Cricetulus griseus: one gene and its partner. The protein of the gene in region 1 purifies or fractionates together with the protein of each later gene. This does not show direct contact. Links are inferred from orthologs where the notes say so. Each region holds a gene or a part of one and is shown in the gene's direction. Other genes may lie near its edges.

Region 1 (3,745 bases):
CAACCCAACACCACCGGGCCGGTTAAGCTTCCAAATCTGGCCTCCGTGTCATCCCCGGGCGGGAGGCACTGGGATTTCCTCGCGAACCCGCCGCGCGGTGCCCCTCCCTCCGCCCAGGGGACTCGTGGGAGCGGGAGGACGGCGCGCGCCGGGCCGCGGGATGCCCCATTGTCCAGCGGCGGAAGCCGGGGCTCCCCGGGGTGACTCCCGAACTCGAGCCCCGCCACCCGGCCGCCCGGAGCTCCGCCATCCCCGTGCGGCTCCCCCCCGCAGCCCCATTGTCTGCCTCGCCTCGCCCCGCCCCGGGGGACACGTGCGCCTGCAGCTTCCCGAGCGCCCAGGGGCGGTGCGGCGGCGGCCCCGGCCGAGGTCCCGGCCGAGCGGGCGATTAGTGCCGGAGCCCCTCGGAGCCCTCGGAGCCCGGGGGCCGGCGGCGGGGCGGTGGGGCGGTGGGGGCGGGGAGGGCGGGGTGGGGAGATGCTTGTCTCCTGACAAAGAACGAGTGGGACACGCCGAGCAGGCCGCCCCGCCCGCGGAGCGCGAGGGAGTGTCCGCACGGAGGGCGGGTCTCTCATTCACTTGGCCCCTCATCGCCGCCGCGGCGGAAGGGCGGGGTCTCGACTCCCCTCTCCCCCTCCCCGCCAGGAGCTAGGGGCGGGGCGGGAGGCGGAGCCCACGGGCGCGCGTCCTGAGGCGTCGGCTGCGTCGTCACGTCAGCGCGGGAGAGAGAAAGAGCGACTCGGCAGGGACTGGGGACGGGCCGAGAGAGCTAGCGAGGGAGGGCGTGAGCCAGAGTGCCAGCGAGGAGGAGAGAAGGGCGGCCACTCGTGTCTGAGCGGCCGCGGACGGGAGTGGGGACGCTGGGGGAGGAGGTGCAGGGAGGGAAAGGAGGAAGGCCGAGGGGACAGGGCGGCCGGCGGCCGGCGGCGGCGGCGGCGCGGCGGCGGCAGGGGAGAAGGAGGAGCTGTAGGAGGGCAGGGGCTGAGGGAGTGAGTGAGAGAAGCGGACGCGCCAGGGAGGGGAGGGAAGGGGGGTCACGCGGGGGCGCGCGCGCGCACTGGGAGCGCGCTCGGAGGCGAGTGGAACTGGATCGGGTTTGCTGCCAGCGGCGTGAGCTTCGGCCGCCATTTTACAACAGCTCCACTCGCGCCGGACACAGGGAGCAGCGAGCACGCGTTCCCCGCCACCCGACCCGGTCGGACAGGATTCCTCGGCCGCAGCCCCGCGGGGAGGTAACGACCGCCGGCACCCGGGTCTGGGAGGGGGGCTCCATGACATTGTGGAGGGAGCTTGGGGGAGGGCGGCGCGGGGAGAAACCGGCTTTTCTGGAAAATGGATTCCAAGGGGGAGAGGAGCACGTTGGCCGGGGCTGCCAGGGAGTAGGCCGCGGCCGCGCCGCCACTTCCTCCTCTCCATGTGCTGCCGCGGCCGGGCTTTGTCTGCGGCGCTCCGGGAGGAGGCGCCTCGGCAGCCCCGTGGCCCGCGCGGACCGCGAGCGGCGGGCGGACTTGGTGCTGTCGTGGCCGGCGGCGCGGGAGTGGGCGGAGAGGCGCGGGGTGCTGTCCCGCGGCCGGCCGGCCGGCCGGCGGGCTTGGGCGGTGCTGGGCTCCCGCGGGCGTGCGCCTGGCGGCGGAACGCCCTCCCGGCGCGGGCTGTCGGCCTCGGCGCCCGCAGCCGCTGCACCGAGGGGTGCGGGAGGCCGGGGGTCGCGGGCGGCTGGGGAGCACCCGGGGCGGAGAGCCATGTGTCAAGGCGGAGACGGCGGCGCTGGGGGGCGGGGAGAGCCCGTGGCCTGGCGCCGCCGCGGCCTCGGTGTTGAGAGGCGAGATTGTGCGGCTGCACGGTTCGGGGGGCTCGGACCGCGACTGCGGGTTGATGTTGAGAGGCGGTGACGACCGCCTTGGCCCGGTACTCGGTGGGTTTCCGTTGAAGGAAGTTGTAGGACATTTGAAGGCGCAGAGCACGTGTTTCTAATGGGCTCCTGGCGGCCGCAGTGGTGAGGCTGCCGCTCCGGGTGCGGAGTCGGGGGCGGGCTTTGGGGTGTGGGGGTGAAGGGTGGAGGAATTGGGTGGTGGGAAGGTGGCTTGTGTGAGCGCTTTGTTCTTCGCTGGCTGTTGTTACTGATCTATAAGCGGCAGGCGGGAAAAGCGCACTTTCTGGTTTACCTTGGAGAGAGACAAGCCCAGCGTTGCTTTTCTTCACACACACCTTATTCTCCGTTTTGGAACTGCTGCATGTGGCAGGCTCGGCCGGTCCCTGTGCTGATTGGGCTTCATTTGTAATACGGTTTTTCCTAGCGAGTGTTAGCAGGTGAAGTCAGGGGTGGTGATCAGGAAAGAATGTAGTGCATCGGTCCGTCTGTACCCCGGGCTCCAAATCTGGCTTGTCAGGCGATGGTGACTTTAAGGTTTCTTTCGAGGGAGGCGCAGGCTGGCTGGTTGTAGTTACTGGTAGAAAGTAAAGATTGGGACTGTCATTGTCCTCTATTCTTTTTGAAGACCCTAGTTTAATTTTGCTTATTGCGTTTGAACAGATCTCTGGAAACATGGCTACAGAACATGTTAATGGAAATGGTACTGAAGAGCCCATGGATACTACTTCTGCAGTTATCCATTCAGAAAATTTTCAGACATTGCTTGATGCTGGTTTACCACAGAAAGTTGCTGAAAAACTAGATGAAATTTACGTTGCAGGTAAGAAACAACACTTGCAAAATTACATTATGAAATTTTTCTATTGGATTTCTGGCTTTGAGCTAAAATAGCAACTTTTTGTGGTTTCCAATAAATGTGGGAACTGGAGCTTTGCCTTGTTCTGATAGTTGGTTAATTTAGGTTTGATCTAGAGGTTAAAGTGTAGAGGGAGGGATGAAGTGGGGAAAAGACCTCCCTTAGGGGAACGCTGTCTGGCCTGACAGATAAGTATATGATAGTAGCAACAGCTGCTAAATGTTGAGAGCAGCCCATGTGACTTTTTGGGGTATTTTTAAAGCAGGGTTCTTGTTTAATAACTTGGTTACTGTAGGCTAGTTCTCTTGTTTTTCTTGGTGTGGTGGTTCCTTTTTTTCTAGTGGCATTTGACATTGAGTAGACTTGCAGTTGCTATGCTTGGTGTTTTGTTGGTTGACAGGATTTGTAGGCTTATATATTGTAGAAATATTGCAGTGTTCAGGATTACTTGGACACAAATGGGATGTAAAATATGTTGACTTCTTTCTGTGTGGTTGAGAGGACTTAGCTCAGAATGGCTAAAATATATTCTTCATTATGTAGATAAGGGGAGTAGAATCGCCACGTGTGTGTACCTGTATTGGCCAATACAGGACTTTCTGAAGAAATAATTTGGAAATTTTAAAAGGTGATAACTAACTACATTTTCTCTTTCCAGGGCTAGTTGCACATAGTGATTTAGATGAAAGAGCTATCGAAGCTTTAAAAGAGTTCAATGAAGACGGCGCATTGGCAGTTCTTCAACAATTTAAGGATAGTGATCTCTCTCATGTGCAGGTAATGTTAATTTCAGTGTAGAAAAAAGTACTTTTGATCTTATTTAAATTTAATTAGACACAGACATAATAGTAATGTTAATATGAATGGAAAATTTCATTACAGAACAAAAGTGCCTTTTTATGTGGAGTCATGAAGACTTACAGGCAGAGAGAGAAACAAGGGACCAAAGTAGCGGACTCCAGTAAAGGACCAGATGAGTCAAAGATTAAGGTATGTTTTTGAGAACTTTCTGTAGC
Region 2 (3,664 bases), on another chromosome or scaffold:
AACGGTGAAACCTTGTGTAAAAAAATAAAGAAAAATAAAACAACAGAACACACAAAAAAGAAAACCCACTAAACAAACGTATTATATTTCCAAACAATGTAAGCTCCAAGAAGACTATTTTGTCACATGTTGTGTCCCTAGAGTTCAAACAGTGTCTAGAACATACAAGACACTTGGGAGAGAACTTATCCATTAAATAGAATTTAAAAGCAATGACCCGGGATGGAGAGATGGCTCAGAAGTTAAGAGCACTGGCTGCTCTTCCAAATGTCCTGAGTTCAGTTCCCAGCAACCACATGGTGGCTCAGAAGCATCTGTAATGAAATCTGGTGCACTCTCTGGCCTGCAGGGACACATGCAGACAGAACACTGTATACACAATAAATAAATCTTTAAAAAAATGAATAAATAAAATAAAAGCAATGACCCTGATGAGGTAGGTACTTTTTAACAGTCTGCGGAAGGATATTCCACCTGGCACTTTACGTTCACGCATGCGTACAGGGTCCGGGAAGTGTAAGGGGAAAGGGGTGGGGCATCAGTAAGTGTCTCGCGGGCATAGGCGGTTGGCTAGAGCGCGAGGTGGGTGCCGACCTAGTGCCTGAGCACGCATGCGCACGTCGCTTGCCAGGCCAAGGCAGCCTAAGCATTGAAGGACTCTGACGGCGGAGTCTTGGCTTTGCGCGTGCGCAGTGCTCGCTGTAGAGCCAAGACCTCAAAATGGGTGTCTTTTGACTCGTGCGGCGCATGCGCGGTGCGTGCGGCGGAGGGATTCTAGACCGGATCCCTCTCCGTTCCTGTCGCGAGCCGAGGCCGCGCGGGTTGTGAGGAGCGGCCTGGTTTGCGCGCGCGGCGCGGACCTCTGAAGGTAGCTGACGCAGACGCCGCCGAAGTGGAAGCCAGAGCGGGAGTTTTTGTTGGTGAACGGCGGCCGCGAGGCCTGAGACTAACGTCAGGCCGAGGAGAGCGCCGCGCGGTGAGTGAGTGAATGAGTGGCCTTAACGGGGTTCGGGTCCGCTCTACCCACAAGCCTTTGCGGGGTCCCCGAACTCTCTACCCGCGCCTGAGGCCCGCTTACCGGGTCCGCGCTTCAAACCACCCCATCCTTTACCCAGAGTCCCCTCAGCGTCCCCCTCCCCCTGCCTCTCGCGGTCCCCTACCCACAGGCCCTTGCGTTTTATGTGTTGCCTCTTTTCCTCGCTTTTTTTTTTTTTTTTTTGTCGCATCCTGGATCTGTACCCATAATTCCGTTCGCCTCTGGGATCCTAGATATTTTACGCAGATCCCCTGGCTTGATCTTTTTGGACTACCTTGAGACCCCTACCTCGTAATCTCCAAGGTATGAGGCCAGCAACCCTCTGAGCTTAGTGCTTCAGGTCTCTAGGTCCCTCACCTCCTGATTCCTTTTCCCTTGTTTTCTGTGTTTTTAGTCCTTTGTTTCTCAGCTCCTGCCAAGACCGACCTTTTTCGTGCAGATGTCTTCCACCGGCTCACCCGGGATAGATAGCAGCGTCCTCGTGATCTCTCCTGTCTGCTTGTTTGATTTTGAGTGAAGGGGTTCTAGAGGGAACCTCCTGTGCTAAAGTTCCCTAACCTAAGGTTTCTGGTCTCAGGTTTGGCAAGATGACACAGTTTCTGCCTCCCAACCTTCTGGCCCTCTTTGCCCCTCGAGACCCCATCCCGTACTTGCCACCCCTAGAAAAGCTGCCACATGAAAAACATCACAACCAACCTTATTGTGGCATTGCACCATACATCCGGGAATTTGAGGTGAGTAAAGGGAGACATGGGGCCTACTAGAAGGGCTTGGGTGCTGAATGAGAGCAGGCTGCATTTTGGAGTAGAGATTTTAAACATATTTTAGTTTTGTGGTTTATGATTTTACTTTTCTTAATCTTGTTTTTGCATTTGTGTGCGTTCTATTTCTTTTATATTAAGTTTTTAATTTATTAGTTTTTATCTTATATGCATTGGTGTTTGGCAAGGATGTCAGGTACCCTGGAACCAGAATCACAGACAGTTGTAAGCTGCCATATGGGTGCTAGGAATTGAACCCTGGTCCTCTGAAAGAGCAGTCAGTGCTCTTACCCACTAAGTCACCTCTCCAGCCCGTCATTAAGTGTTTTTGTTTTTCGTTTTTCTAGACAGGGTTTCTCTGTGGCTTTGGAGTCTGTCCGGGAACTAGCTCTGTAGACCAGGCTGGCCTCGAACTCACAGAGATCCACCTGCCTCTGCCTCCCGAGTGCTGGGACTAAAGGCGTGCGCCACCAACGCCCGGCATCGTTAAGTTTTAATTACACTTGTATTTGTGGTGTGTATGGATGTGTGTGTGCAAACCTATAAACCTATAAGGGGGCAACTTGAAAGAATCAGATCTCTCTTTCCATTGTGTGGGCTCAGGAGAGCAAGCTGAGTTTGTTACCTTTGGTGAAAAGGGCCTTAACTTGCAGAACCATCGTGCTTAGCCCCTTTGTTTGAGTTTTGAGACAGAGTTTTGCTATGTAGTGTAAATGGACAGATCTACAGACCTCTTAGTGGCAAGCTTCATTCTCCGACCCTCAAACAGGCTTTATTTGTACAAGCAAGACATTACCACAGTGTAGCTCAGAGTGGCCTTGATGGTATACCAGTCCTACTTAGGTTCCCAAATGCTGCAGTTAATGGGTGTCCACTTCCAGGACCAGCTAATTTCCTTTATTTATTTTGGATGTAAGATAAACGGAAAAATTAAGTAAAAAGAAAGAAATGTAATAAACAATACCTATCAAAAGAATTTTTTAAAAACTTATTTATTTTAAAAACTTATTTATCATATGCATGCTGCTTCCTTGGTGCCATAAAGCCCCTGGAACTGGAGTTACAGACAGGTGTGAGCTGCCATGTGGGTGCTGGGAATTGAACTCAGGTCCTCTGGAAGAACAGCTGGTGCTCTTAACTGCTGAGCCATCTCTTCAGCCCCATTTTGTCTTTTTTTTTTTTTTAAAGCTTGCAGAGATACATCTACTTGGCTTTGTGCTCTCAAGTACTCAAGTACTGGGATTAAAGTCTTGTGTCTCCACTCTTTGGGGTTTCTGTTTGGAACTGTGGGGAGTTGCAGAATTCCTTTGGGAGCCATGTAGCTTTTTGTTTTGTTTTGGTTTTGGTTTTGGTTTTTGAGACAGGGTTTCTCTGTGACTTTGGAGCCTGTCCTGGAACTAGCTCTTGTAGACCAGGCTGGCCTCAGAACTCAGATACCCGCCTGCCTCTGCCTCCCGAGTGTTGGGACTAAAGGTGTGTGCCACCACTGCCCAGCTACACTGCCTCAGTTTCTTGAGTGCTGGGATTAGAGGTGTGCACCCCTACCACCCTGCTTTTTTTCTTCTTCTTCTTGCCAGGTAGCTTTGGAACTGTACTTTACAGCTATGTAACTTATGTTACACTCTGATGAAGAACAAATGTCTACCAGTCATTGTAGGTGCTTTTTTGTTTTGTTTTGAGACAGGTTTTTTTTCTGTGTATCCTTAGCTGTCCTGGAACTCACTGTGTAGACCAGGCTGGCCTGGATCTCAGAGATCCACCTGCCTCTGCCTCCTGAGTGCTGAGATAAAAGGCGTGGACTACCACCATCCCTGGTGATTGATGCTTTTGCTAAATACAAGGGAATTGTTTCTGTGTTTTGTTTAAA

The links. The genes of interacting proteins can lie anywhere in the genome.
Region 2: the proteins of Syncrip (region 1) and Snrnp70 purify together in Homo sapiens (affinity purification with mass spectrometry; 3 studies listed by BioGRID and IntAct, counting the BioPlex papers as one, with this or other methods). This does not show direct contact. The link is inferred for Cricetulus griseus from reciprocal best matches to the Homo sapiens genes SYNCRIP and SNRNP70.

The regions. Positions count from the first base shown.
Region 1 is NC_048597.1:198,399,718-198,403,462, reverse strand, and holds the start of Syncrip (heterogeneous nuclear ribonucleoprotein Q), read left to right. Parts: upstream 1-1,037; 5' UTR 1,038-1,232; intron 1,233-2,533; 5' UTR 2,534-2,545; coding exon 2,546-2,693; intron 2,694-3,387; coding exon 3,388-3,506; intron 3,507-3,611; coding exon 3,612-3,719; intron 3,720-3,745. UniProt on the Homo sapiens protein: Heterogenous nuclear ribonucleoprotein (hnRNP) implicated in mRNA processing mechanisms. Component of the CRD-mediated complex that promotes MYC mRNA stability.
Region 2 is NC_048599.1:154,300,699-154,304,362, reverse strand, and holds the start of Snrnp70 (U1 small nuclear ribonucleoprotein 70 kDa), read left to right. Parts: upstream 1-765; 5' UTR 766-976; intron 977-1,236; exon of another isoform or gene 1,237-1,339; intron 1,340-1,613; 5' UTR 1,614-1,623; coding exon 1,624-1,770; intron 1,771-3,664. UniProt on the Homo sapiens protein: Component of the spliceosomal U1 snRNP, which is essential for recognition of the pre-mRNA 5' splice-site and the subsequent assembly of the spliceosome. SNRNP70 binds to the loop I region of U1-snRNA.